Oryctolagus cuniculus: one gene and its partner. The protein of the gene in region 1 interacts with the protein of each later gene in a biochemical or structural test. Links are inferred from orthologs where the notes say so. Each region holds a gene or a part of one and is shown on either strand. Other genes may lie near its edges.

Evidence for each region.
Region 2: of the proteins of MARK3 (region 1) and KSR1, one has a biochemical effect on the other in vitro, tested with the Homo sapiens proteins (2 studies listed by BioGRID). The link is inferred for Oryctolagus cuniculus from reciprocal best matches to the Homo sapiens genes MARK3 and KSR1.

The regions. Positions count from the first base shown.
Region 1 is NC_091451.1:46,235,922-46,251,561, reverse strand, and holds the start of MARK3 (MAP/microtubule affinity-regulating kinase 3), read right to left. Parts: upstream 8,175-15,640; 5' UTR 7,643-8,174; coding exon 7,592-7,642; intron 1-7,591. UniProt on the Homo sapiens protein: Serine/threonine-protein kinase. Involved in the specific phosphorylation of microtubule-associated proteins for MAP2 and MAP4. Phosphorylates the microtubule-associated protein MAPT/TAU. Phosphorylates CDC25C on 'Ser-216'.
Region 2 is NC_091448.1:43,308,264-43,323,176, forward strand, and holds part of KSR1 (kinase suppressor of Ras 1), read left to right. Parts: intron 1-5,629; coding exon 5,630-5,777; intron 5,778-9,480; coding exon 9,481-9,940; intron 9,941-13,773; coding exon 13,774-13,778; intron 13,779-13,879; exon of another isoform or gene 13,880-14,913.

The DNA of each region.
Region 1 (15,640 bases):
GGGACTGGTGTTGTCATACAGTGAGTAAAGGCCCTGCTTTGGATACCCACACTCTAAATCAGAGTGCCTCGTTCAGTCTTGACTACTCCATGCTTACAATCCAGCTTCCTGCTAATGCTCCTGGGAGGCAGCGGGTGATGCCCAAGTAGATAAGTTTTACAGAACTCAGAGAGCTTTTTCTACATTTACAGAAGTTCTAAAAAGCAGGAAGCAATCTGGTTCTCAGGTATATGCAGTAATTCAAAAAGTTCATTGAAAAATTGCCTGGGAAAAGCAGCAGAGATGGCTCAGTGTTCAGGCCCCTGCCACTCACACAGGAGACCTGGATGAAGCTCCTGGCTCCAGCCTGGCCCAAAGGCCATCTGGGAAGTGAAGAAAGATGGAAGATCAATTTCTCTCTAACTCTGAATTTCAAATAAATAAATAAATATTTTAAAATTTAACTAGAAAATATGTTTATGGGCCAGCACTGTGGTACAGCAGCTTAGGCTGTACCTATATGGGTCCCGGTTCGAGTCCCGGCTGCTCCACTTCTGATCCAGCTCTCTGCTATGGCCTGGGAAAGCAGTAGAAGATGGCTCGGCTGGCGCCACGGCTCAATAGGCTAATCCTCTACCTGCGACGCCAGCACACCAGGTTCTAGTCCCGGTCAGGGCGCCGGATTCTGTCCTGGTTGCCCCTCTTCCAGGCTAGCTCTCTGCTGTGGCCCGGGAGTGCAGTGGAGGATGGCCCAAGTACTTGGGCCCTGCACCCGCATGGGAGACCAGAAGCACCTGGCTCCTGGCTTTGGATCAGCGTGGTGCGCCGGCCACGGCGGCCACTGGAGGGTGAACCAATGGCAAAGGAAGACCTTTCTCTCTGTCTCTGTGCACTCTGCCTGTCAAAAAAAAGAAGAAGAAGAAGAAGAAGATGGCTCAAGTCCTTGGACCCCTGCACCCATGTGGGAGGCTCAGAAGAAGCTCCGAGCCGGCGCCGCGGCTCACTAGGCTAATCCTCCACCTTGCGGCGCCGGCACACCAGGTTCTAGTCCCGGTCGGGGCGCCGGATTCTGTCCCGGTTGCCCCTCTTCCAGGCCAGCTCTCTGCTGTGGCCTGGGAGGGAGTGCAGTGGAAGATGGCCCAGGTCCTTGGGCCCTGCACCCCATGGGAGACCAGGAGAAGTACCTGGCTCCTGCCATCGGATCGGCACGGTGCGCTGGTTGCAGCGTGCCAGCTGCAGCGGCCATTGGAGGGTGAACCAACGGCAAAGGAAGACCTTTCTCTCTGTCTCTCTCTCTCACTGTCCACTCTGCCTGTCAAAAAAAAAAAAAAAAGAAGAAGAAGAAAAAGCTCCGAACATTGTGGCCAATTGGGGAGTGAAACAGTGGATGAAAAGACCTCTCTCCCTCTCTGCCTCTCCTTCTATGTAATTCTTTCAAATAAATATTAAATAAATCTTTTTTTAAAATGTTTATTTTGTGCAAAACAATTGACGTCCACACATACAAGGCACACTCTTTCTATAAAATGTATTTTTCAATAACTTTTTGAAGATCTCTCTTATATCCTCCAGAGCACCTAAAACTGTCATATTCATAACAGGCACTCTAATTTGCTTAACAGGTGAATTCAGTCTCACCTAAACAAACAGTTGACTAGGCTACAATACCATCAGTTTATCTGTTTCACAAAGTTAGGAAAACTTGATGATTATTTGGATTAACTACTCAGTATATGATACACACACACTAGAGGCTGTTAAATAACTCAGTCCTAGAGCCTTTAGTACTTTGGCAAAAACCCAGGATTATAGACTTGTATGCTTTAAAAGTAAAAAATGTATTTTTTTTTTTTTTTTTTTGACAGGCAGAGTGGACAGTGAGAGAGAGAGACAGAGAGAAAGGTCTTCCTTTGCCGTTGGTTCACCCTCCAATGGCCGCCGCGGCCAGCGCGCTGCGGCCGGCGCACCGCGCTGATCCGATGGCAGGAGCCAGGAGCCAGGTGCTTTTCCTGGTCTCCCATGGGGTGCAGGGCCCAAGCACCTGGGCCATCCTCCACTGCACTCCCTGGCCACAGCAGAGGGCTGGCCTGGAAGAGGGGCAACCGGGACAGAATCCGGCGCCCCGACCGGGACTAGAACCCGGTGTGCCGGCGCCGCTAGGCGGAGGATTAGCCTAGTGAGCCGCGGCGCCGGCCGTAAAAAATGTATTTCTATAAGTAGGTACTCAACCTAGCAGTTAAGACACTAGCATCCCATATCAGACTATCCGAGCTCAATTCCCACCTTAAGCTCCTACCTCCAGCTTCCCACCAGTGCGTGCTGATGACTCAAGTCAGCGAATTGGATTGGGTTCCTGGTTTCCAGCTCTGGCCTGGCCCAGGCCCAGCCTTTGTGGGAATTTGGGGAGTAAAGCCCCAGGAGTTCTCTCTTTCCCCCAGATAATTTTTTTCAATGTTTCTAATTTTGCCAGAATAGAAACAGGATTTGTTTGTGGCTCTATTCAAGTCAACTATAGAACATATTAAAAAAAAAAGTTTCTTGTTGCTCTATAAAAGAATTTTATTTTAGGGGCCAATGTCATGGCATAGGACTTTCCAGGCTCCTGACTTCAGCCTGGACCAGCCCCAGCTGTTGCAGCCATTTGGGGAGTGAACCAGAAAATCAAAGACTAACTCACTCACTCACTCTCTCTCTCTCCCCCCCTAACTCTGCCTTTCAAATAAATTCTTTTAAAAAAAAAAAAATGTTATTTTATGCATTAGTCACCTGTAATGTGTAGATTTAAGTTGGAATCTAATCTGAAAACAGATTAAAATTTAGACAACTGAGGAAATTTGGACACTGTGTATCTGATATTAAGAAAACATGATAGGAGCCGGCTCTGTGGCATAGTGGGCTGAGCCTCCGCCTGCGGCGCCAGAATTCGTATGGGTGCCAGTTAGTGTCCCGGCTGTTACTCTTCCGACCCAGCTCTCTGCTATGTCCTGAAAAAGTAGTAGAAGATGCCCCAAGTGTTTGGGCCCCTGCAACCACGTGGGACACCCAGAAAAAGCTCCTGGCTCCTGACTTTCGATCGGCTCAGCTCTGGCTGTTGAAGCCACCTGCGGAGTGAACCAGAGGATGGAAAACTTTTCTCTCTCTGCCTCTGCCTCTCTCTATAACTCTACCTCTCAAATAAATCTCCAAAAAAAAAAAAGGAAAGAAAAATGTAATAAAGATATTAATTACATGTTCTTTAAAAGGAGGCTCATTTCTTCTAAAAGCTTTTGAGATGAAATGATATGATGTATTGAATTTGATTCCTGAGGGAATGAGACTGACCAATGAGATGCTGAGAATGGGGGGCTCGCTGCATACCAAGGTTTCCCAATTCCAGCCCTATTGACATTTGGGAATAGATACTTCTCAGTGACGGGGGAAGTTGTCTTATGTATTGCAAAACGTGAGCGGCATGACTAGTGACCAGTAACTCCCACTTCCTCTAGTTGTGACAACTAAAAATGTTTCTAGACATTGTCAAATGTCCCTGGAGGACAAAATCATCAATAAATTCCATTCTACCTATTTGAAATTTTCCATAACAAGCCTTTTCAAAAATATTTTAAATATTTATTTGAAAGGGAAAACAGAGAGTGAGAGAGAGACCTTCATCTGTAGGTTCACTCCCCAATACATGCAACAGCAAGGGCTAGGACAGGCTGAAGCCTAGAACTCCAAACAGGTCTCTCAAATGGGTGGCAGGGATGGTTGGCGCCGCAGCTCACTAGGCTAATCCTCCGCCTGCAGTACCAGCACCCCGGGTTCTAGTCCTGGTTGGGGCGCCGGATTCTGTCCCAGTTGCTACTCTTCCAGTCCAGCTCTCTGCTGTGGCTCAGGAGTGCAGCGGAGAATGGCCCAGGACCTTGGGCCCTGCACCCGCATGGGAGACCAGGAGGAAGCACCTGGCTCCTGGCTTCGGATTGGCGCAACGCGCCCAGCCGCAATGCGCCAGCTGTAGTGACCACTTGCGGGGTGAACCTACGGAAATAGGAAGACCTTTCTCTCACTGTCTAACTCTGCCTGTCAAAAAAAAAAAAAAAAAAAGGGGGTGGCAGGGATTCAAGTACTTGGACCATGATCTGCTGCCCCAAAATGCACATTAGCAGGGAGATGGATCAGAAGCAGAGCAGCCAGCAATGTGATAAAAACGAACTCTTATGGGTGGTGCCGCGGCAGGCAGAGGATTAGCCAAGTGAGCTGCGGTGCCGGCACCCCGGGTTCTAGTCCCGGTTGGGGCGCCGATTCTGTCCCAGTTGCTCCTCTTCCAGTCCAGCTCTCTGCTGTGGCCCAGGAAGGCAGTGGAGGATGGCCCAAGTGCTTGGGCCCTGCACCCACATGGGAGACCAGGAGGAAGCACCTGGCTCCTGGCTTCAGATTGGCATAGCGCACCAGCCACAGCAGCCATTTGGGGGTGAACCAACAGAAAAAAAGAAGACCTTTCTCTCTGTCTCTCTCTAATTTTGCCTATCTCTAACTTTTACCTATCCACTAACAGTGAATCTTAACATTTGAAAAATCAAGTGAAAAATAGTGTACAAGCTACCTTTTACTATTCTTAACCTAATAAGCAACATTCTTGTCATAATTACATACATTAAAAATTTAAACACGATTTTCCTAAAATAAGCAAAATCTAAGGTCTTTTGACATAACAGAAGAACAAAGCTGTTTTAGTAATCATAGCCAAAATGTCCCTCAACTGGTGAATGGATACCAAAGTTGGCTACATCTAAACAATGAAATACTACTTAGCAATAAAAGGGAATGAACTATATACACAAGAAAACACAAATAAATCCAAAAAGTATTAAGTGCATGAAATCAGACACAAGATTGTATTCTCTGAGACTCTGTTTACAAACATTCTAGAAAAGGAAAAAACTATAGAGGCAGAAAAACAGATCAGTAGTTGCTGGAGCTGGGGTAAGGGAGAGAAGATCCACTGCCAAGGGCCACAAGCGACCTTTCTGAAGTTGCAAATGTTCTAGATCTTGATTATGATGGTGGTTACACGAATATACATTTGTCAAACTCATCAAGCTACACACAAGAAGTATAAACCTGACTTCAACAAAAGAGCTTCTCAACACAGAGCTCCCACTCTTGTATACTCATCACTTGAGGAGCAAGAAGTCTAATGCTTAGCAGCACGAGAACATTAAGTAAATAACACGGCATACGGTCAATCAGAATCTGAGGCCGAACACTGACACAAAGGTACTCCACCGCCAGAACATGCCAACACGGAAGTTAAAAATGGACTCCAGTGCAGCATTTGGCATGCCAGTTCAGATGCCCTCATCCCAAACCCTAGTCGCTGGGTTCCAATCTCAGCTCCTCTCCCATTTCCAGCTTCCTGCTAATGCGCATCCTGGGAGACAGCAGGTGATGGCTCAAGCACTTGGGTCCTTAACACCTATGTGGGAGACTTGGATTGAGTTCCTAGCTACTGGCTTCAGCCTGGCCCAGCGTAGCCCTGAACCAGCAGATGGGAAATCTGCCTGTCTCCCTGACTTAAATATGTATTAGTGAATAAATTCTAAAAAGTAAGTATTAAAACAAAACACATGACAGTATGGTGGATTAATGAATGATGAGCTATAAACCTTTGATTTTAACAATGCTAAAAATTCTATTTTAAGTACATTACACGAGAATAAAGAAAAGGCCTGGGACTGGCACTGTGGCACAGCTAGTTAAGCCGCCATCTGCAGCGCAGTGATCCCATATGGGTGCTGGTTCTAGTCCCGGCCACCCCCTTTGGCTCTAACTCCCTATTGATGTGCCTGGGAGAGCAGCAGAAGATGGGCTAAGACTTGGACCCCTGCCACCCACACAGCAGAACCAGATCCTAGCCCTTGGCTTCAGCCTGGCCCAGGCCTGGCCACTGGGGCCATTTGGGGAGTGAACCAGTGGAGGAAAGATCTCTCTCTGCTCCCCCTCTGTCTGTACATCTGACTTGTAAATAAAAGAAGAAGAAACGTCCTCCACATCCCCAGGAGCTTTTTAAAAAGTTAGTAATTAATTTTCTTTTTAAAGATTATTTATTTACTTGAGAGGCAGAGTTACAGACAGAGGGAGAGTGAGAAAGGTCCTCTATCCACTTGTTCTCTACCCAAATGGCCACAATGACCGGAGCTGGGCAGAAGACAGGAGCCTCCCCTAGATCGCCCACATAGGTGCAGGGGCCCAAGCACTTGGGTCATCTTTCCACAACTTTCCCAGACCATCAGCAGAGAGCTGAACTGGAAGAGGAGCAGCTGGAACACAAACCAGTGCCCATATGGGATTCAGGCACCGCAAGGAGAAGGTTTAATCCACTATGCCACGGCACCAGCCCCAACAGTTAGTAATTTCTAACACAAAAAAAATCTACAAAATAGTTCAACAAATTACTCAAATAACAACTGAAGAACGAGCCAAGTCATTCACCAACATCACAAATATTCACCACCTAAATCATGCATTCATGAGTAAAAATGGCCTATTTCTTCCCTATTAAAATATGTATTAAAAGACGACCTATTTGAAAGCCTTCATTATCACAAATCTGCTGTTTGGCTGCAGTTTACAAAGTGTGAAGCTCTTGCTCTGGTTCAAGGTAAGGTTTTGCTTCTGAGTGAAGATCCATAATCAAAGCTGATCGCCTCACTTTTGTTCCTTGCTCCTTCCTTCAGGGTAGTAAAGAGTGGGAAGTGGTCAGGTCTGGGTCAGAAACGGTTTTCTTCAAAAGCACTATAAGAGAAGGAGCTCACTGACTCGCAGAGTCTAAGGTTTCCTACCACTCACTTTCTACGTAGTTCTCTAGCCCATCTCAGGTGGCGGACGCCTACCGCTCTCCTATGTGTGTAATGCTGGGGCGCAGGGATGCTCGAGACGGAGGCTTACGTAAACAGGTGAAAATACCAGCCAGCCGGCCGGCAAACAACTAAAGTGAAGGCACTTGATATGTCTGGGCCACAACGTCTCGGGACGTTACCGAAGGGATGAAAACACGCAGAGCAAGAAAAGTTCTCCTAAGAGCTGGCATTTTCTGGCCAGCAATCACCTGCTAACACGCACCCTGAAAGGCCCCCGAAGTTGCTTTGCCAGTTACTGGCTCTCGCGGTTGCGGCGCAGGGGCAGACCCGCGCAGGGCGCAGCCCAGCAGCGCGGCCCCCACCCCCGGCCTTTTACAAAAGGGGCACAAGCAGCAAAGCCAAGGTTCCTCCAGGAGGTGCGGGCCGCTCGTCTCAGCGCACCTCCTCCGCGGGGGGCGGAAAGCGGTGTCCCCGGCCACTGCGGCCTCGCGGGGACGCAGCCCGCGCCGGGCAAAGGCTGCGCGCTCTGCACACCTCTCCGGGGTCGAGGCGGGACCCCGAGTTCCGGCGACTGTCAGCCACTAACGCCCGGTTCCGCCCGCAGAAAGGACGGTGCACGTGACCCCTCCGAGCGCCCTGAATCAGCACCAGCGGACAGAGCCGCCCGCCCAACTGGAGAGGAGAGCCCACCCGGCCGGGCGAGCGCCCGGACCTCGCTGGGGCCGGCACGGCCGGGAGGACACGCCCGCCGCCGACAGGCCCCGGCTACTCACGTTTTCAGTGTCTCGTTCATTCACCGTGGGCAGCGGAGTCCGAGTGGACATTTTACTGCGCTCGGGTTCGCACAGGGCGCGGGCGAGAACAAAACGGCACAGCCCAGGAAGCCGGCGCGCGGCCCCTCCCCCCGCGGCCGCCTAGATCCCGGGCCTGGCCCGGGCCGTGCCCCGGCGGCTCCCGGGGCTCATCCTCCCCTGCCCGGGCGGCCGCGGCGAGGAGCCCGGCGGCGGCGGCGGCCCCGCGCCTCAGCGCACGCCGCGGGCCCGGGCCGCCTGGCCTCCTCCGCCTCCGCTCGCGCCCGTTGCGCCCCGGGTTTCAGCTCCGGGGCCTCCACACAGCGCCGCCGGCAGCCCCTGAGGAGGAGGCGGAAGAGGATGTGGAGAAGGTGGAACGCAAGACAGGCCGCCGCGGGCTGCGGGCGCCGACCATGGAGGGGGCTGCGGCGGAGGCGCCTGCGCCCGGCTGCTTTCCTCTCTCCCGCTCGCTTTTCGCCTCAGCCTCCGCCCTGCTGGCCGCCGCCGCCGCCGCTCCCGGCACCTCAGAGCCTCACGGACCCAAGATGGCCGCCACTCGGCTTCCTCTGCTGTCTCCGGCTGCCGGAAGTGACGCCGCCGCCGCCTCCCGGAGGCCGGCCAATCAGAGCGGCGGGAGCGGCCCGGGCGGGCTGCTGTTGCTAGGGGCGACTCGGCCCGACAGGTAGGGCGCGAGGTGGGCGGCGCCGGGTCTCCGCTGGCTCCGGGGGCGCCGGGTTCCCACAGTCGGGCATCCCTGCGCGGCGGCGTTGGCGCTTACGGACTACAGATCTGGCTTTCTTGGATTACAGATCGGGCGCCTACTGTGTGCAAACACCGAGCTCGCCTCCCGGGGACAACGCTACGTGGGGTGGGTGGATCCGCAGGGTCGGGGCTGCAGGTGGGCGCGCGGCTCCAGCACGAGCCGCTGCGACCCGGGCGTCGGGCGTGCACACACCCAACTTGCTTGCGGGTCTGCCTGCCTGGCCATCAGGAGGGTCTGACTTGGACCCAGCCAAATGCCACCTGGAAGGGGGAGTGCGACTAGGGGGGCAGGCAGGGGAGGGGATCGGTCCCCTAGGGACCAGTTCTTAATGCCTCTAGGGGGTCTCTAACCAGGACCAGCTGCAGGTGTGGCTCAGTAGCCCCCTGCGGCAGGAACACTGGAAATGCCGCCTCCCCTGGGCCTTGGGTGCCCTTGCGACCAGGCTGGGTCACATAAACCGTTCTCGAGAGGCTGGGGGGGGGGGGGACATTGCACCAGCTACCTCATTTAAGCCTCAGGGCAGATGCACCATGTCACCCGGGGACAGGTTGGTTACCAAAGGAGCCTCGATTTGAACCCTGTTCCTAAAACTCTGGTAATAACAGATAAGCGAAATGTAGGGTGGGTGTGGATTGCTTGTTTCTTCCGATTTTGGAGGGGGTGGGGGAGGCCATCTTGCCAGCATTTTCTGCTCCGTGAAACATATACTTTTTTTTTTTAAGATTTATTTATTTTTTTGAAAGAAAGAGATAGAGAGAGGCAGAGAGAGAGGCTTCCATCTGCTGGTCCACTCCCCAGATGGCCGCAACGGCTGGAGCTGCTCTAATCCAAAGCCAGGAGCCAGGAGCTTGCTCCAGGTCTCCCACACGGGTGCAGGGGCCCAAGGACTTGGACTGTCTGCTGCTGCTTTCCCAGGCCATAGCAGGGAAGTGGATCAGCTGGGACTCGAACCAGCACCTATATGGGATGCTGGCACTGCAGGCAGTGGCTTTACCCGGTATGCCACAGTGCCATCCCCAGAACATATATATCTTTAAACACCGTAATCACTCCCAGAGAAGCCAGATGCTCCCAGTATACAAACACCTGCGGACTAGGATACTGCCAGGGCTCCCATGTCACCCTTCCAGGACAATGCTAGAGGGGTCCAGGGTATCCCTATATGGAATGTTGTCACCGTTCTTTCTTTGGCCAAGGGGAGATGTGGAATTCCCAAGAATTAAATGTGTGCCTGACACGGTTCAACCAAAATGTGGGTTATATGATAAGATTGGGGTGAGCACAAGTGTTGTTAGCCCAACTTGGGGGTTGAGTCAGAGAAGGCTTCCAGGAGAAGAGAACGTTTACGCTGAGCCTAAAAGCAGCGGCAGAGTTAGCCAGGTAAGGAGGGTGCAAAGGACAGTCCAGGCAGAAGGCCGATCCAGCCAGGGCTGCAGAGGTTGGAGAGGTGAGACTGGAAGAGCAGGGCCTAGACTCAGCACAGCACCTGGCTCTGTGTCTGCTCCCAACGACGGCAGGAAAACACCCCGAGAAGTTCAGCCTCGGGCCGGAGCTGAGAGACAGCGTGGGGTGATTCACAGCATTCGCCGTTGACCGGGGAGGGGGGGCGGGGATGAGGGTGCCACCCAGTTGCTTTTCTCACTGAGAAATGAGTCAGTGAACGCCCGGAGTCAGAAAACGAAGATGACAGCACCCAACTCATGATGTTGGTTTTGCTGAAGGCTAGAATTAAAGAAGCACCTGGAACTCTTCGTGGCACTGATGTCAGATGACGTCATGACACCATAAGGGTCTTGATGTGGGAGGCAAGGTGGGTGTGTTACATGAAGAACAGAAAGAGGTGGGGGAGGGAGGCAAAGCATTGTTCTGTCCAAAGAACGCTCGGAGACCCTCAGCTGTGTGCATCTGCAGTCAGGAAAACACACACACACACACACACACAGAGAAGGGCGAGATCTGGAAGTTGTCTTTGGAATGTGTTCTTCCATCCCATTTCATGTTCTTTGTTTCCTGTCTTCATAGTCAGACAGTTCCCATCTTCAGCTCCTGAAACGTGAAAGATACAACTAAATATACCAAGCTGTGTGCGTGCGTTGGCAGCACAGTTTTCCCTCAGCACCTGCAGGGCACCAGTTCTCTTACCCGAATCCTTAGCTGCTCAAGTCCCTCAAAGAAGACAGTGTGAAGTTGGCAAACAACTCACACACGTCCTCCAGTGTACGTGAAATCATCACCCAGTTACCTATACAATGTGAATGTGATTTAAATAGTGGCTACGCTATGTTGTTCCGGGAATAGTGACTAGAAAGTCTGAGGACTTCCAGTGCAGACGCAACTTTGAAAAGACATGTTTTTAAATTTATTTATCCAAGAGGCAGAGAGAGAGAGAGCAAGAGAGAGAGCCGCACTCCAGATGCTACAATGGCCAGGACTGGGCCAAGCTGAAGCTGGGAGCCAGGTCTCCCATGCAGGCGGCAGGAGCCCAGGTACTTGAGCCATCATCCCTGCTTCCAGCATCTGCCCCCATAGGGAGCTGGCGTCGGTATCAAGCCCAGATACTGTGCAATGCAGCTGGCAGGCGTCTTCGCTGCTAAGCCAAACGCCCACCCCGTGATTGTGTTTATTTATTTACTATTTTTCACAAACGGTCATTTGGGTCCGTGGTTGCAAAGCCCACAGGTAGGGAGGGCCCACTGTGGTTATCTTCATGGCAAGCAGGAGGCCACTGAGACACATCGGAAGCTGGCAATGATGTTGATGATGACAGTGGCCACCTCAAGGCCCCTGGGATGGCCACCATCAGAAACCCAGAAAATAGGGAGAGGTCAGCCTAGTGGTTAAGACGCTTGCCTGGGTTGGATTCCTGGGTCCAGCTGCTGATTCCAGCTTCCACTAGTGTAGACACTAGGAAGTAGCAGTAGTGGCCCAAGTGCTTGTGGCCCTGCCACCCACATAGGAGACCTGGATTGAGGTTCAGGCTCCTGGCTTTGACCTGGCCCAGTCCTGGTAATTGTAGCCATTTGGAGAGTAAACCAGCAGATAGAAGATCTCTCTCTCTCTCTCTCTCTCTCTCTGCCTTTCAAATAAACATTGGGGCCAGTGCTGTGGCACAGCAGGTAAAGCTGCCACCTGCAGTGCTGGCATCTCATATGGACACTGGTTCGAGGCCCGGCTGCTGCTCTTCTGCTCCAGCTCTCTGCTATTGCCTGGGAAAGCAGTAGAAGATGGCCCAAGTCCTTGGGTCCCTGCACCTACGTGGGAGACCCAGAAGGAGCTACTGGCTCCTGGCTTCAGATCGGCACTGCTCTGACCATTCCAGCCAATTGGGGAGTAGACCAGCAGATGGAAGACCGACCTCTCTGTCTCTCTCTGTGTAACTCTGACTTTCAAAAAAAAGGCTTAATAAATAAATATATAAATTGTTTTACAGAAAAAAAATATGGAGAAATTTTTTTTTTGACAGGCAGAGTTAGACAGTGAGAGAGAGAGACAGAGAGAAAGGTCTTCCTTTTTCCATTGGTTCACCCCACAAGTGGCTGCTACAGCTGAAGCATTGTGGCCGGCGCACTGCGCTGATCCAAAGCCAGGAGCCAGGTGCTTCCTCCTGGTCTCCCATGTGGGTGCAGGGCCCAAGGACCTGGGCCATCCTCCACTGCACTCCCAGGCCACAGCAGAGAGCTGGACTGGAAGAGGAGCAACCAGGACAGAATCTGGTGCCCCAACTGGGACTAGAACCCGGGGTGCCGGCACCACAGGTGGAGTGAGATTAGCCAAGTGAGCTGCGGCGCCAGCTGAGAAATTATAATTTTTGTGCAGTGTTGGTGGAAATGTAAAATGGTGCAACTGTTGTGGAAAGCTGTGGTGATTTTGGAAAAAATGAGAATTACCATGGCCGGCGCTGCGGCTCATTAGGCTAATCCTCCGCCTTGCGGCACCAGCATACCGGATTCTAGTCCCGGTCGGGGCTCCGGATTCTTTCCCGGTTGCCCCTCTTCCAGGACAGCTCTCTGCTGTGGCCCAGGAGTGCAGTGGAGGATGGCCCAAGTACTTGGGCCCTATATCCCATGGGAGACCAGGATAAGTACCTGGCTCCTGCCATCGGATCAGCGCGGTGCGCCGGCCGCAGCACGCCAGCCGCAGCGGCCATTGGAGGGTGAACCAATGGCAAAAGGAAGACCTTTCTCTCTGTCTCTCTCTCTCACTGTCCACTCTGCCTGTCAAAAAAAAAAAAAAAAAAAACATATGACCCAATGATTCCAATTCTGGGTAGATACCCAAAAGAAAGAAAGCAGGATCTTACAGAAATATTTGTTCATCAACATTCATGGCAGCACTATTTAGAGTAGCTGAAACGTGGAAGCAAACCATGTGCCCATCGTTGAGTGAATGGAGGAGCAAAGTGTGGTAAGCCCATACAGTGGGATACTGTCCAGCCTTTAAAAGGACCATGGGTGGCCTTGAGGACATTATGTCAAGGGAACTACATGAGACACAGAAGTGCAAATACTGTGTGGCCCTAGCTCTGTGAGTTACCTGGAGTTGTAAGACAGAGACTGCAGTGGGATAGCGGTTAACAGGGGCCGGGGGGAGAAAGTTCTGGAGCTGGGTGGTGAAGATGGGGCAGACGCGCGCGAATGTGCTTCACAGTGGTTGAGATGGTTCAGCTTTATGGTAGGTACACTTCACCGCCATCTTTATCACGAGATGAAGAGGGGGCAGGTTGAGCTGTTGCTCGGTTGCCTGTGCCTAATTAGAGTTGCAGGTCCACCACTTGCAATCCAGCCTCCTGCCAATGCGTCCTGGTCCACCACTTGCAATCCAGCCTCCTGCCAATGCTTCCTGGTCCACCACTTGCAATCCAGCCTCCTGCCAATGCGTCCTGGGAGGCGCCGACGGTGGCTCAAGTGCTTAGGCCCCTGCCAGCCACGTGGGAGACCCAGATGAAGTTCATGGCCCCTGGCTTAGGCCTGATCTGGTCCTGGCTGTTGCAACCGTTTGGGGAGTGAACTACAGGAGGGAAGATGTCTCTCTCTGTGAGTCTGTTTCTCTCTCTCTCTCTGCCTTTCAAGCAGATGAAAGTGGATAAATAAACATGAAAAAGAGTAAGGAGACAAAGTGACTAATTCACGCAGCTCGTTAGCAGCAGGGCGAGGATGGGGACCCCAGTCTCCAAGCCCCAACCCCGGGCCTTCTTCCCCGCCAGCCGGTGTCGCCACATGATCCCACGCGGATCCGCTCCAGCTCCCAGCCCAGCACCAGAGGAGGAGGGGGCGTCCCTGCTGGGGTTCCTGAGGGCCTGTGCTGGCCGTGAGCCTGCCTGTGGCAGAGAAAGAAGCCCCCGCTGTGGAAGTCGGTACAGCCGGGTTGTGTGTCTCCCAGCGCGGCGTGTCCCGAGTGTTGTGTTACTCAGCGAGCACCCAGGGCCTGGGGCAGGGGAAGGACGCGGGCTGGAGCGCCAAGGCCTGGAGGCGGGGGAAACACGAAGTCTGTTCCAGACTCTCCTCAGCATGCGGGGTCAGGGCTGGCCTGTTGCTTTTTAATTCCCCGCTCCAGCTGCCTGCTTTACCCCGAAGGGCCGCTGTTGCTCACGTCAGTGCCTGGTTCCTGCTGCTCCCTCGTCCTGCAGAGCCTTCCCCGACCACCCCCAGGGAGCTCCCCGCCACCACCCCAACACCCTTGACTTCCACAGCCTGGGGCCACAGCACATGTGCTGAACTCCAGCTGTATACTTGGCAACTCTCCAGCAGCCCGGGAAGACCTGTCGATGGATATGCTAGGGGCAGGAGGACCACGACTGGGAGACAAACTGTGCCTGGCTCCGTGTTGCCAGCAAGAAAGGGAGAGGCGCCGGCGCCGCGGCTCACTAGGCTAATCCTCCGCCTTGCGGCGCTGGCACACCGGGTTTTAGTCCCGGTCAGGGCGCCGGATTCTGTCCCGGTTGCCCCTCTTCTAGGACAGCTCTCTGCTGTGGCCCGGGAGTGCAGTGGAGGATGGCCCAGATGCTTGGGCCCTGCACCCCATGGGAGACCAGGAAAAGCACCTGGCTCCTGGCTCCTGCTATTGGATCAGCGCGGTGCGCTGGCCGCAGCGCACTGGCCGCGGCGGCCATTGGAGGGTGAACCAACGGCAAAGGAAGACCTTTCTCTCTGTCTCTCTCTCTCACTGTCCACTCTGCCTGTCAAAAAAAAAAAAAAAAAAAAAAAAGAAAGAAAGAAAGAAAGAAAAGAAAGGGAGAGGCTGAAGCTCGGCCTGCAGGCGCCCGATGGCCGCCAGTGCCTTCTGTTCTGAGGAAGTGTGGGCCTTCTGGCTGCCCAGTGCCAGCGCTCTGTCCTGGCTGCCCCAAGGGCTGGGCTTTCACGATCCCCTGGAGAGAGAGCTCCCAGGCAGATCTAGGCTCCACAACCACAACGTGGAGTTATCCTTCGGTTGGTTCCACACTTTGCTGCAACATGGAGGTGGTTTGGGGCCCTGGCTCTGGCACCTGCGGCAGAGAAGGTACCGAGACCCAGATCCGGCCTTAGATGCACATGCGTGACCTTAGGGGTCCAGGGGCGCCATGAGTAGCTTCCCTGTAGCCAGCCCTCTCCCCTCATCTGCTCTGCTCTGAGCTTTGGACATTCAACCCTGGATTTGAACCCTGGCCATGGGTTTGTGCCAATCACGCCCCATCTTAGAGCTCTGCTTCTGGGTTAACCCATGCGGGCCCCTCCCTGTTGCCGCGGGCGTCTGTGGAGGCAGATGGTCACCCCCCTGCAGCGGAAGGCCCTTCCCCGGAGCAGAGCATTGGCCTTGGAGCCTGGAGACACAGGTCAAGGCTCCTGCAGCCACATGGGGCACCAAGTCAGGGTCAGCCTCCTCCCTGGTTTCCTCCCTCCAGATCAGTCATGGAGACTCTGCTGCAGGAGCAGAGGAGGCTGCAGATGTGGGAGCTGAGCAGCAGACGGGACCGGGTATCACCGCTCACGGACAGAGGGCCGGAGGCGACAGACGGACGGGGCAGCGCTGCTCACAGACAGAGGGCCAGAGGCGACAGACGGACGGGGCAGCGCTGCTCACAGACAGAGGGCCGGAGGCGACAGATGGGACCGGGCACCCCCGCTCACGGACAGAGGGCCGGAGGCGACAGACGGACGGGGCAGCGCTGCTCACAGACAGAGGGCCAGAGGCAACAGATGGGACCGGGCACCCCCGCTCACGGACAGAGGACCGGAGGCGACAGACGGGACGGGGTATCGCTGCTCACGGACTCACAGGGCTGGAGGCAACAG
Region 2 (14,913 bases), on another chromosome or scaffold:
TGCTGGCCTCACTTCCCGCTGAGGCTGCTCCTGTTGGAGACCCTTGTTCTGCCAGATAACCTGCTGGCTGACTGATCCTGGCTGCAGCGACCAAGGCTTCTAAATAGGTCAGGGTGGACCCCGCCCCAGTTCCAGAAGCAGGCCCTGCAGGAAGGAGGGGCTAGAGCGGGGAAGGAGCAGTCGCTCAGAGTTCATGATAGTGACCTTGGTGCAGGCTAGTGTGCTCAGCACCGTCATTTCACTGATGTGCAGATGCGTGATTGACGCCCCGGGCAGCAAGGCATACAGAGGGCGGGGCCCTCGCCCTCGGCCTAACAGAGAGGTGCTGCTGTCTGTAGTGAGAGGCAGGGCAGGTCTAGGTCGGGAGAGCCCTGATTGGCTCTGTGGCTCCAGCACCCCTGCCTGCCCCTCGTGCTGGTTTAGATTGGAGAATAAAGAAAGGGGCAAGGGAGGGACAGGAAAGGCGGCCCCTCCCGATGATTCCAGCAGAATTGACTCATCCCAAAACCTCCCGGGAGACAGGTGCTTCCCACCTGACTCCAAGGCGCCAGTTAATACACCTTTCTCTTCCTTAATTTAAAAACAAATGTTTACTGGGGGCTGGAGCTGGGGTGTGGTAGGTTGAGTCTCCGCCTGCAGTGCCAGCATCTCATATGGCTCCAGTTCATGTCCCAGCCGCTCCTCTTCCAATCCAGCTCCCTGTTAATGACCCTGGGAAAGCAGTGGAAGGGGCCCAAATACTTGGGTCCCTGCACCCACGTGGGAGACCTAGAAGCAGCTTCTGGCCCTTGGCTTTGAGTCTGCCCAGCTTCAGCTATTGTGGCCATTTAGGCAGTAAACCAGTAGATGGAAGATTCTCTCTCTGTCTCTCCCTCTCTCTGTCTCTCCCTCTCTCTGTCTGTAATGCTGCCTTTCAAATCAATAAATAAAATCTTTAAACAGGCCGGCACCGTGGCTCAATAGGCTAATCCTTCACCTTGCGGTGCCGGCACACCGGGTTCTAGTCCCAGTTGGAGCGCCGGATTCTGTCCCGGTTGCCCCTCTTCCAGGCCAGCTCTCTGCTGTGGCCAGGGAGTGCAGTGGAGGATGGCCCAAGTGCTTGGGCCCTGCACCCGCATGGGAGACCAGGAGAAGCACCTGGCTCCTGCCTTCGGATCAGCGCAGTGCGCCGGCCGCAGCACACCGACCGCGGCGGCCATTGGAGGGTGAACCAACGGCAAAAGGAAGACCTTTCTCTCTGTCTCTCTCTCTCACTGTCCACTCTGCCTGTCAAATATTAAAAAAAAAAAAACTTTAAACAAAATTAAAATTATGTTTGTGTGTGTGTTTATTTGAAAGGCAGAGGGGGCAAAGATCTTCCATCTTCTTGTTCACTCCCCAAATGCCCACAGTGGCCAGGGCTGGGCCAGGTCAAAGCCAGGTGTCTGGAGCTCCATCCGGGTCTCCCACGTGGATGGCAGCAGGCACCCAAGTGCCTGAGCCACACCTGCTGCCTTCTCAGCGTGCACATTAGCAGGAAGTTGCATGGGAGTAGAGGAGCTGGGACTCAAACGAGGCAGCTCCACGTGGCATAGGGTTACAGGGTGAGGGCATCACAAGCAGCGTCGTCACTGCTCTGCCACATGCCCCCCCCCTCCCCGGTCTTTATAAGGGAAGGGCTCTGAACAGGTGCTGCCTTTCTCTTCCTCAGGGAATTACTTCCCTTGCTTAAAGAACACTCAGTTTTACAATAGATGTTTCTTTCAAGAAGTAAATAGAAATTAATCACTTTCATTTATTTCCAAAAAAGAATTGCCCCCAAAAGGTATCTGCTGCATGTGTCCCAAGGCTGTGCCAGGTCACCCAGTGGCAGGGTGGAGTCGTCGTGGCGGGGGGAGTTTGGCACACGCAGGGGCTTCGGTTCTGGCCCCACTGGACTTCAAGCCGCACAGCAGGAGGCCTGAGCCTGGTTCGAGACTATCCTGCTTTAAGGGTGCAGCCAGTAGGCTGCACTGTGTCGAGTAGAGCTGGGAGCTGAAATGCACTGGGCATGTCGTGCTGGCACAGTTTGTAATAATAAATGCAGCCTGAGAGACAGACACGTGGTGTGAGTGAGGAGGGAAGAAGCAAGCAAGGAGGGGAAGCTCTGTTTAGATTGGGGTTGAGTTGCCCGGGCCTGCTTCTCCACTTGCACTGTCAAGACACCACCTTCTGTTGTGAGAAAACTGCCCTGGGAAAATGTGTGTGCGTGTCTACCTGTGTGTGCATGTCTACCCACATACATGTGTCTACTGTGGATGTGTCTACCTGTGTGCGCATGTTTATCTGTGTGCATATGTCTTCTGTGTGCACATGTCTATCTGTGTGTGTCTACTTGTGTGTGTGTCTACCTGTGTGCACAAGTCTACCCATATACATGTGTCCACCTTAGACATGTCTACTGTGTATGCATGTTTACCCATGTAAACTGTCTACTGTATGCACATGTTTACCCATGTAAACACGTCTACTGTATGCACATGTCTACCTGTGTGTGCATCTACCTATGTGCACATGTCTACTCACGCACACATGTCTACATTGGGCGTGTCTACCTGTGTACACATGTCTACCATGAGCGTGTCTACCCATGTATGCATGTTTACCCATGTGCGCATGTCTTCTGTGTGCATGTGTCTACCTGTGTGTCTCTGTCTACCTATGTGCACATGTCTATGTGTGTGGGTCCCCCACCCAGAGGGAGATGGAGGGCTGCTTTGTGCAGTGAGAGTTGAAGGTCGCTTTGGTTCTTGCCCTGACTCTTTGACCAAGTTGTCTTTTACATAAAATGGCATCAAAACTGCCTTTTAAAAAAATTATTCATTTATCTGTAAATTGGAGTTACAGAGAGAGAGGGAGAGACAGAGACCCTCTGGCTGCTGGTTCACTCCCCAAATGGCCACAGTGGGCCAGATCAAAGCCAGGAGCTTCACTCAGGTCTCCCATGTGGGAGGCAGGGGCCAAGCACCTGGACCATCTTTGGCTGCTTTCCCAGGCCATTAGCGGGGGGGCAGGATTGGAAGTGGAGCAGCCAGGACACAGTATGGAATGCCAGCATCGCAGGTGATGGCCTCGCTCACCACCCTGCAGCGCTGACCCCACGTGTGTTGTTTGTTTAAGATTTATTTACCCATCTATTTGACAGGCAGAGACAGAGAGAGAGATTTTCCATCTGCTGGTTTACTCCCTAAATGGCCGCAACAGCCGGGGCTGGGCCAGGCCAAACCCAGGAGCCTCATACTCCATCTAGGTCTCCCTTGGGAGTGCAGGGGCCCAAGCATCTGGGCCATCTTCTTGCTGCTTTCCCAGGAACATTAGGAGAGAGCTGGATCAGAAGCAGAGCAGCCAGGATTCGAACCAGCGCTCATACGGGATGCCAGCGTTGCAGGCGGCAGCTTAACCCACAGCGCCACGACCCTGGTCCCAGAAACTGGCTTTCTATGAAGAAGAGTTGCTGAGGCCATAAAGGAGTGGCGGGGTGGGGGGTGTCCCTTCTGTAGCCAGCCGCCGTCTGGGCTGTGCCCCTCACAGCAGCCTCCCTGTCCTCGCTTTGTCATCCAGAAGGATCTCTGACAGCCGAGGCTGTGTGCAGGCAGCGTACTTCCTGGTACTTTCACGTGTCTGGTTCTTATACTGGTGCGGATCATTCTAGACACTGGTGAGATTCCTGCCCGAGCCGGGACATCGAAGGCCGCAGTCACAGGATGCAGACAGCCACCGGGGGCCCTGTTGGTGGGAAGAGGGGGTGTGGCCGCCCCCACACCATTGCCCTCCTAGCTCGGGTGCAGGTTTACAGCCTTGTGAATGGACTGACAGTGAGTTACCGTTTCCAAGTCAAATGACACCAGACTTAACCAAAATTCACCCAAAATTGCTTTTGAGTCTCAAGAACCATGCACGTGCTAGGGGTTATTTCATCCAGCCTTTGCTTCCTGGAGAATCCAGGAAATGTGCGTAGAAAAAGGGGAAAAGAAGACCTGATGCCCCAGGTCTTTGAGCCCAGGTCAGGACGCATTGCAAGGACTCCTTTTGGTGTCACCCCAGCCCCGGCTGCAAGGCTCCTGAGGCCAGAGCCGTGTCCTGCTGTCCTCTGTGTCTGTGTCAGGCTTGGCGCACCCTCCAGACGTGAGGGGAGAGCACCCAAGTCAGCCGGGCCTTGAGCCAAACATTTGTTCTTGGGATTGTTTTTCTGGTGCTGCATGACAAGCGTGGTGGCCCGTGACACTGCACACGCATGCCACAGCTCACCGTGCACAGCTGCAGCCCCCGGGGAGGCTCCAGGCTGGCTCCTCCAGCTTTCCCGCCCTGCCTCTCATGAGGCCACTTCCATGTTCACCCAGGTTGTGGATGGGACGCGGTCTGGATAGCTGGGGGGAGAAGGGAAAGGGTGGCGGAGTTGGCTAAGCCGGGAGATACACAGATCTTCTGCGGGCGTGAGCCCATCACATCTCATCACTACCAGCCCACTGCAAACCACTCAGCCACTTATGTACTCTGTGGGCTGGGGGCTGGAGGGGGCATGGGGGTCAGCAGTTGTAGGGGGGCTGTGAACAGTGACTGGGGGCAAGCAGTGGCCCCAGAGGTAGCAGTTAGCTTGAGGCAAGGTTCCCTTGGGAGTTTGAATGAGCCCAGGGAGCTGACGCTGTGACGCTGTGACGAGCCTGCCGGTCTTGGCCTGGTTTCTGTCCTCTCTCCTGAGACAGACAACGAGATCACCCGGGGTGGGGGGGGGAGTGGCCAGGTCCCTCCGTGCCCAGAGAGACTTCTTCCTGCACTTGGGAGGAGAGCGGTGAGGCGAGGTTACAGGGACCTTGACTCTGAACCGGCTTTGGGGAACTTTTAATTTCCTTTGGATCAAATGTGCCCCCCAATGCCACCTTTCGGGGAGGTGTCGTCCTCTGAGCCCCAACACAGCTGTCGGTCTGGGGTCCCCGCTTCCTCGCCGCCTGTCAGCTGAGGCCATGGACGTGCCTCCTCCTGTGGCCCTTGCGGTGTCTTCAAAGCTGGCATGGCATCGCTCGCACGCTTTCCCTCCACCCCAGAGGAGACCCTCTGCTTTTACAGGCTCGTGTGGTTGGGTTAATCCTACCTGGGCACCTGAAAGTTCTGGCCCCTGCGTGACCTTGTACAGGTGCCATGGCCTCTTTGAGCCTCCTCCGTGGAGGCTCACCTGAGAGCAGTGCCGGTGGGGGGGGGGGGTTGCTTATTCTGTTTCTGTCCTCCCCTTGTTGGCATCTCCTGACACAGATACAACAGAGTTCCCAAGGGCCATCTCTGTGGGAAGTGCTTGTCATTCGACAAAGTCCCCATGACCCGCCTTTTTCAGTGTGGAGAAATAAAAAGAGGAGAGGCAGGGCGCCCTGTTGAAACCCTCCTGGCTTCCCCCTGCCCCTTCGGCTCACGTCAGCTGCTGTCCTGGGCCTGCGGAGGGTGGGGGCGGCAGCTCTCTGCCTGTGTCCTTAGACAAGCAGAGCCGGCCCGGCCAGCAGCTGGCCCCTGCCACTCAGCCAAGAGGCTGCCCTGGCCCAGGCCAGGCGAAGGCTGAGGCCACCGCCCAGGCCTGCCTGCCTGCCTGCTCACCGGCCTCTCCTGTCCCTTCTGTGCCACACAGGAGATCCCCCACGAACTCACGCTGGACGCCCTGCTGGAGATGAACGAGGCCAAGGTGAAGGAGACGCTGCGGCGCTGTGGAGCCAGCCCCGAGGAGTGCGGCCGCCTGCAGCACGCCCTCGCCTGCCTGCGGAAGGTCACGGGCCTGGGTAAGTGGGGCCTGCTGGCCTCCTGTCCCCTGCCTCCACGGGGTGGGGGGATGAAGGGGACATCTCTCTCCAGGGCCAGCCTGCTCCCCTGGGGGCTCGGGCCCCTGCCTAGGTGGGGGTTGGGATGGGGCAACCACAGCCCCAGGTTTCTGGGGTAGCTGGGAAAGGCCAGGGTGAACCTTCAGAATGTGTTTGATGACCCAAAAGGGAGGCCCCCCAGGGTCCTGGGGCTCTGGATCGCAGTGGGTCTGGCCGGTCTGGACCTGGGAAGACTTGAGCCATTGTTAGAAATCGGCAGACTGGGAGGGCCCTGTGTGACTTCCCTCCGGGGAGTGCATCTGTGCGGGGTTTTGTGCACACTCCGCCAGCTTCCTGCATTCCAGCCCCCGGCCCTTGTCGGCCGGCTGCACTCTGTGCTCAGAGACACCGTGGATGTGGGCTTAGCCTGAGCCGAGATGCTTAGAGTGCGTGCACAGCAAGGCATGGAATCCTGGCTGCAGGACGAGGAGCTGGGGAATTCTTTGCAGGCTTTCTAGATCTTGCCTTGGAAACAGCTTCGCATGCCTGCCCGATGCTCCCACTGCAGGCCCCGGGCAGATACGCATTGAAATGAGCCTCGTGAATTGAATTAGCCTGTTTTTAATTATCTGAGCCTCTTGTCTGAGCCCCGGCTGCCTGGGGCTTCAGGAAAGCACCGAGGTGTATGTGCTGCTTAGTTCCTGCCGTCCAGGAAGATGAGGCTTAGCTTCCTCCCGAGTCATCTGAACCCAGAACTCAGTGCAGGTTCAGAGAATCGTGACCCGCCGGGCCTCCCTGCAGATGCTGGGTGTAACATGGCAGAGGTATGGTGCTGGGTGTAACATGGCAGAGGTGTGGTCAGAATCCTCGTCTCCACCCATACAGAGGAAGCCCTGGGGAGGGGCTTGGGACACACGGCGGTCAGTAGCAGAGCCAGGGTTTGTGCTTCGGGCTCCGCTGGCAGCAGAGGGCAGGAGGATTTGTCACTGGAGCTGAGGCCCCTAGGGTCGCCTCTCAGACCCCACCCCCATCCCCCTTATGCAGGGGTTTTCAAGGAGCCAGCTGTCGTGTGGTACTGACCTGCCGGTGTCATGAAGGCCGCCGTCTGCCTCCCACGGATGCCGAGATGGGGAGGGGGCACTTAGTTGGGAAACACCTGCCGTGTGCCTGGCACATGACACGCTGGAGCCACACCCTTCACAGAGGAGGCATGAAGCAGCAGAGCAAGGGGCGCACTGGCGGAGGGGTCTGGGCTCCCACATCCGGCGCAGGGCAGAGCTGGGCTCTGAACTCAGGTTGCCTCCTCAGAGGGCCTGGGGAGAGGGGCCTTTCCCAGGTCCCGCCTCATTCAGTGCCAGCTCCTGGGGCCCCTGCCTCCCCAAGAGAGTCCTGGCCATATCCCAGGCCAGGGTGCAGGCCTTTCGACTGCCCTAGCCATGGCCATTCTTCCTGGACACCTGCTAGGGACTGGGTGGGTACCGGCAATGCCTATCTTTAGGGTCCACTGTTGGTGCATCTTCACGGCACCTAGACAGGGTGCAGTGATGGCAGCCTGAGCTCCGTGAAGGCGGGCCGTGGCAGCAGACTGCCGAGGCCACTCGGAACCCGTGGGGCCTCGGCCAGTTACTTAACCTCTCTGTGGACTTCTCCCATGAGGTTGCTGTGAAGATGCACAGGGTTGAAGCGAAGTGTTTAGACCAGAGCATGCCATAGCTTAGGTGCCCTTTCCCACATTAGGCCTGTGGGGTGATGGATTATGTTGGTGCCATTTGCACTATGGTCTCTGGTCCTAGAGGGTGAGTGAGCGATGGTTCTTTGTGCTGGTGCATAGGGACGACCATTCCCGCTGATACTCCCTATCCTTCACCCACAGCAGACATCACTAATCAATCCGTGAATGCTTATACTGAGTGACTCCAGCGTGGCTACTGCCAACTGACTGGCACTGGCCTGTGCACCAAGACCTGTTTGCCATCCCTGAGCTGGCCCAGAGCAACAGTGATTAAATAGGCTGTTTGAAGAATGTGGGGCTTCTTTCCCTGGGTGGCAGACTTGCTCAGAGATTCATGGAATCTGTTCTTCATCCACTTAGCAAGAAACCTGTGTTCAGTGCCTCCCCCAGGCCAGTAGAGAAGCTCAAGTGTAAATCAGAGGCAGGACGACCCGTCCTGCCTCCCTGTGCCATGAACCTGGGGGAAAGTACAAACCAAGCTCATGACTTGGGGAGGCTGTGGAGGCGGGGCTTCATCACCTCTGACCTCTGACCCAGAGCTGACCCAGTGTGGGTTCCTCAGAACGCATGGCATCATGGGAGGAGGCATAGCGCTGTGGTCAGGGCTGAGGGGTTCACCTCCCATCCCACTGTTGCCTTTGCTGACCGACCTTGGTGGTGTGGGTGACCTCCCCTGTCACGGGGGCTGTGGGAGGCAGGGCTTCTGCAGGACGTGGTAAAGGCCTCCAGGGCAGAGGTCACTTTGGGTCAGCCTTGACCTTCCTCGCTCTACGTGTGGATAATTCTGAGAGAGGGAGTGGGTGTCTTCTCCTTCCTGCTGTCGCAGCTCGCCCATTAGTACCGCCCGCCCCCACCGCCGTGGCCCCGCCAAGGCAACCGCAGGCAGGACTTGGACTTCAGCACGTCTACCGCAGGCTGGCTATTAAGTTTATGGTTCTATATGGCCCGTGAATGCCGATGTAAATACCCAGACAGCCTGTGGCTGAGTAAAGGTTGCCCTCCCCTGACCTACAGGAACAAACCCGGAGTCCTTAGCAGACAGACCAGCCTCCCTGAGCTGGCCGTGCCGCCCTGAGCCCTCCAGCCTTGTCCCCGCCTTGCCCTGACCTCGCAAAGCACACGGAACACTCTGTAGTGATGGAAGGTGCCGCGTGCTGTTCCCTGTGCGTACGCTGCTCCCTCTGCCCGGGACACCCTTCCCCCTCCCCACCCCCAGCTGCCTCAGCCCTGACCCCAGCCTCCCCAGGCCACTGTCTCAGCAGACGCGTCTCCCTGTCCCAGTGCTCCACACACTGAGAGCTCCCATGGGCCTCTGTGGGCACAGCAGACAGGTCTGTCTGCCTTGTGCATTTGCACCCAGCACCCAGCCTGCACACGGAGCAGTGGACGGATTGCACCGTCGACACAGAGCCCCACGGAACCTCGGGTTCTCCTGGGGCTCAGCTCCCAGTGGGGGCAACCAGAAGCCCCTCACGGGCACCTCTCAGAAGAAAATGGCTTTGCAGCCTCTCTGGCTGGATCTTTGTTCCGCAGCCCAGGGCAGCCCTCTTTCCTGCTGTTTGGATTTTCTTGCCCCAGGCTTTTCCCTTCACACACCCAACTTCCCTTTCCTAACCCGTAAAGGGGTCATCAGCTTTCGGGTGGGCTTCCCAGCCTGCACCCCCAGTCCTGCCCGCAGGAGCCCAGCACAAGCCATTCCCTCCCTGGGCCTCCTTCCCCGCTCTGTGAAGCCCATTTCAGAGTAGCACCCGCCCTGGGGGCCTCACCGTCAGCAAGAGTGTGAATGCTGCATGTGCGCGAGAGATGCTCTTACAAACCGGGGACAGGCTGGTGTCTGAAGCTTTCCACAGATGCTCTGTGCAACCTTGGACAAGGCAGTTAACCTCTCTGGACCCTAAGTCCCTTCACCTGTTCCAGCCCCAACCATCTGCGACTCAGCTTCTTGACCCACAGGAGGAGAGCACAAAGAGGACTCGGGCTGGAGTTCAGTGGATGCTCGGCGGGAAAGTGGCTCTGGGCCTTCCACGGATACCCTCCCTCCAGCCAGCCTGCCCTGGACACCAGGCAGCTCCCAGCTGGGCAGAGGGGGCAGCAGCACCCAGGGCCCACGCTCCGTCTCCGTGTCAGCCCTGCCCGCCTCGGACTCCGCAGCCCCTGGCCTGAGCGAGGGCCTCTCGGACACCTGCCTCCCGCTGCACGCCAGCGGCCGGCTCACCCCCCGCGCCCTGCACAGCTTCATCACGCCACCCGCCACGCCCCAGCTGCGCCGGCATGCCAAGCTGAAGCCGCCACGGACGCCCCCGCCACCCAGCCGCAAGGTCTTCCAGCTGCTGCCCAGCTTCCCCACGCTCACCCGGAGCAAGTCCCACGAGTCGCAGCTCGGGAACCGCATCGACGACGTCACCCCCATGCGGTGAGTGCTCCCGCCGCAGCCACCACGAGGTTTTATAAAATTTATGCAATGGGCCAGCGCCGCGGCTCAATAGGCTAATCCTCCGCCTGCAGCGCCAGCACCCTGGGTTCTAGTCCAGTTCTAGTCCAGTCTAGTCTCCTCTTCCAGTCCAGCTCTCTGCTGTGGCCCGGGAAGGCAGTGGAGGATGGCCCAAGAGCTTGGGCCCTGCACCCGCGTGGGAGACCAGGAGAAGCACCTGGCTCCTGGCTTCGGATCAGCGCAGTGCGCTGGCCACAGTGGCCTTTGTGGGGTGAACCAACAGAAAAGGAAGACCTTTCTCTCTGTCTCTCTCACTGTCCACTCTGCCTGTCAAAAAATAAATAAATAAAAAGATTTATGCTATGTATTTGAAGGGCACAGTTACAGAGAGAGAGAGAGTGTTCCATCTGCTAGTTCACTCCCCAGATGACCACAACACCCAGGGATGAGCCAGGAACTCCATCCAGGTCCCCACTTGGGTGGCAGGGACCCAGGTGCTTGGTCCATCTACCTACCTTCCCAGGTGCATTAGCTGGGAGCTGAATAGGAAGTGGAGCAGCCAGGACTGGAATGCTGGCATCCAGTTCCACTGGATGCTGGCATCGCAGGCAGCGGCTTAACCCACTGTGCCACAGTGCTGGCCCCGCACCAGGAGTTTTGCCTGCCATTCTCATCATGAAAGTGTGTACAATGCCGGTGCCACAGCTCAATAGGCTAATCCTCCACCTGTGGCACCAGCACACCGGGTTCTAGTCCCAGTCCGGGCGCCGGATTCTGTCCCGGTTGCTCCTTTTCCAGTCCAGCTCTGTGCTGTGGCCCGGGAGTGCAGTGGAGGATGGCCCAAGTGCTTGGGCCCCGCACCCCATGGGAGACCAGGAGAAGCACCTGGCTCCTGGCTTCAGATCAGCGTGGTATGCCAGCCGCAGCGCGCTGGCTACAGCGGCCATTGTGGGGTGAACCAATGGAAAAGGAAGACCTTTCTGTCTCTCTCTCACTGTCCACTCTGCCTGTCAAAAAAAAAAAAAAAAAAAGAAAGTGTGCACAAAAGACAAGGAAGTCAGCCATACAGAACTGTGCAGTGTGGGAGCCACAGGCACTCCCCATTCACACTAGGCCCTGACGGCCTTAGCTGGCTGAGCTGAATCCTGCTGGTTCCTGTCTGCACACACACAAAGGGTAGGCTGGGTGAGGCCACGTGAATGAGCGCACCCACAGCTCTGGGGCTTAGAACAAGGAAGACTTGTTTCTCACTGTCCAGGTGGGTCAGACTCTCTCAGGTCCCAGGCTGGCCAAAGAGCCACTTTCTGGCATGTGCTTGGCCCCTGTGGCGGAGGGAATGGGGCATTCAGGTCCTGGACACTGTTGGTTGAATGCCAGCTCCACACCTGCTGTCAACTCACCAGGATTGAAAAGTTCAGGGAAAAACTGTCGCATCGCTGCCAATGTCCTGTGTCACTGCCAATGTCACGCGTGGCCTCTGTAGTCAGGCTCGTGATGCACTGACATGATGACGGGTTTGTGTCGTTATTCCGAGCAGTAGTGCGTAACAGCTGTTTACACGGCCTTTGCATTGCGTTAGCGCTATCCGGAAACCCGGGATGATTCCAAGTGTGCGGAAGCGGTGTGCACAGGTTCTCAGCGAACACTGCGCCTGAGGCACTGGAGCCTCTGCCGGGGGCCCGGGCCCCGCCCCCACAGACTCTGCGGGACAGCTGTCCTCCTTCCACTCCCTGGTCGGGGCCCCACCCAAGGCAGGGAATTGGCAAGGGCCGTCCTCCTGTGCACCCAGAGGGGGAGAGCTGGCATATTTGGCTGAAACCACAAATGACTGTCACGTATGGTGCACGCTGTCCTGTGACTTGTGCTCACCTTGACGTGTGTGACAGCATCACACCAGGCAGCTCCCAGCTCAGTACATCTTTCTTTCTTTTTTTTTTTTTTTTTTTTTTTTAAGATGTATTTATTTATTTGAAAGGCAGAGTTACCCAGAGAGAGAGGAGGGACAGAGAGAGGTCTTCCATCTGCTGGTTCATTCCCCAAATGGCTGCCAAGGGCTCAATCTGAAGCCAGGAGCTTCTTCTGGGCCTCCCACGTGGGTGCAGGGGCCCAATCACCTGGGCTATCTTACGCTGCTTTCCCAGGCCATAGCAGAGCAGCTGGGACTCGAGCCAGTGCCCATATGGGATGCTGGCACTGCAAGTGGTGACTTAACCCTTATTTTTAAAATTTTAATTATTCTTATTTATTTGAGAAGCAGAGAGAGGGAGGAGAGGGAGAGTTCACATCTGCTGATTCACTCCCTAAATGCCCACGACCGCTGGGGTGGGCCTAGGCCAGAACCAGAAGCCTGAAATGCAACCCAGGTCTTCCATGTGAGTGGCAGGAACCCAGTCACTTGAGCCATCACTACTGCCTCGTGGGATCTGCATTAGCAGGAAGCTGGAGTTGGGAGCCAGGGCTGGGAGTTGAACTCAGACACGCCAAGTGAGACTTGAAAGGCAGAATCACAGAGGGAGAGAGACACTCAGAGAGGTCTTCCATCTGCTAGTTCACTCCCCAAAAAGCCACTATGGCCAGTGCCAGGCTGATCTGAAAACAGGAGCCAGGAGCTTCTTCCAGGTCTCCCACATGGGTACAGGGCTCCAAGCACTTGGGCCACCCTCTTCTGCTTTCCCAGGCACATTAACAGGGAGCTGGATCAGAAGTGGAGCAGCCAGGGCTCCAACTGGCACCCATATGGGACTCTGGCACCACAGGTAGCAGCTTTACCCGCTGCACCACAGTGCCGGCCCCGTGATGGACGTTTAAGCCACTGTTGTTTTTACAAAGATCACCTCTGTCGGTTTACCGTTTGGGAGCACGTGAAAGGACAGTGTTTCCTTTGGGTGTTCTTCCCTGTGGGTACCCCTGAGGGTTGGGGTACTTGACACAAGCACCCCTTTTTCTGGGGGCTCCCAAGGTCAGGTCTGCCTTGGGTGGCAGGGGCTTATTTCCTCTGTCCTGGTGCGGGCTCTTGGGCGCACTCCAGGAGAGACTTGGGCAGCTGTGATGAGCTTGCTACCCAGGGATACCCACCCTGCTACTCCCGGTCCAGCCGGAAGGGGCTGTGGACCACAGTCTGGGCTGGTCAGAGACGCCTCGTGGGCCACCCCATGCCTTTGTATCTTCTTCTCCTGAGAAGAGCACAGGCAGCCTTACTCCCACCTTCCAGGCAGAGAACAGGCCCGTGGGCAGGTGACACCAGACAGGGACACGCAGGCCACCTTGCTGCCCTGGCTGATCCCCCAGGGCCCCAGGGGACTGTGCAGCCCCAGGCGGGATGTCGCTGAGGGCATGTCCCTGCCTGACCCTCCCCGTGGGGCCACCCTTGTACTCCGCACAGCTGTTCTCTCTGCCCTCCTGGCCCAGCTGTGTCCTCTCCAGCAGACGGCCCCCTCCTCCTGTCTGGATCCTGGGTTCGCCCCACCAGTGGGTCCCACGCCCGTTTCCTCAGCTGTGAAATGGGGTAAACTCGCAACCATGCTGGCTGGCTGGGCTTGCGTAAGCTAGTGCATTAAAGTGCACAGCACAGGGTATGATGTCCATGTCCCCTGGGAAAGCTCAGCCAGGGCCCTTGTGGCTCTCTGCGTGGAGACAGTGTCCCTCCCCACAGGGCGGGCGGAGGTTCCCACAGTCGCTTGGCAGCCTGGCCCCAAGCCAGGCCTCAGAGTCCCACATCCCAGCCCCTTGCCTGTTGTCTCCCAGGAAGAATGTTCTAGAACACGCTGACGCAGCACGCCAACATAATCCCTCTCTCTCCTTTTTGTCTCCTCCAGGTTTGGTAAGAGAGATTTCATTTTGGTCCCCTCTGTCGCCGGGAGTGGCGTTCGTGTCGCCGTCCCCGTCGGGAGTGAATTCTTCTGACCCTCTCCTAGCCCACTGGGCCTCTGCATGCATGGCCCAGGAGCAGAGGTGCTGGTGACAGCCGCCCAGGGAGAGAGGCAGCCGTCCACCTCCCCACGAGCGGCTCCTCTCTGGGCAGCAGAGACCTGGACAGTACCCTGATCTGGGGGCAAGCCTGTGCCAAGCCCGTTTCCACCTGGACCCCTGTGGCAGGTGCTCTGCCCACTGGGCTGCCGCGGTGAAGAGAGGTCACCACCATCTGCCAGCATAGGTGGGCCACAGCCAGCTCGGACCCCAGCCCGTGTCTCCAGACCCCTTATTTAGGACAAGGACCTTCTCAGGGGCAGCTCTGCAGGAGGCCTTAAGAGCCCAGAGGGTGCCGCTCCCCCTTAGGGCAGGAGGAGGAAGCTCTAGCAGCCCTCCCCAAGTTCTTACATACGGCTATGCGGTGCAGCCTTTCCCCCAGGAGCCAAAGCAGAGCGAAGCTGTTGTGCCTGTGGACTCGCTTCCAGTTGTCCAAGCGGAAGTCCAGAAGTGTCTGTCTGCTGCCTGGGCAAGACGCCGTTTCTTGGCTGAGTGGGGGTGTATCTGGGGTGGGCTCTTGGCAATGGCGGAGGCAGCAGCTGTGCTTTGGCATGGTGGAGCCGGTACGGGGGTAAGGAAGGGAGACATCCGTGGTTCCCAGGGCTCTTGACAGAGCCTTGGAGGAAAATCTAGCAGCTCTGTCCCTTGCACAGCCGAGGATCTGTCATCTTCCAGACCCTGTGGTGACCCAGGAATGGGGACAGTGCAGCTGTTGACCCTTAGGGCCAATATTTCCATCTAGCTCAGAGAGAGTGGATGCCCCGGCTCGTGTGCCACCCCACTCTCCTGTCCTGTGCCAGGGGCAGATGTTACAAGTCGCAGCCTGCATGCAGAGCTGCATGGCTGGAGCCTCGTCTTCTCTGTGGCTGCCAGATAACCTGTGTGTTTTGCTGGCTGTGGCTCCTGCAGGGTAGGCTAGGCCCCGGGCAGGAGCTGGGACGTACCCCAGATGTACCAGAGCTGCCGATCAGCAGCAGGGCAGCGCTGGG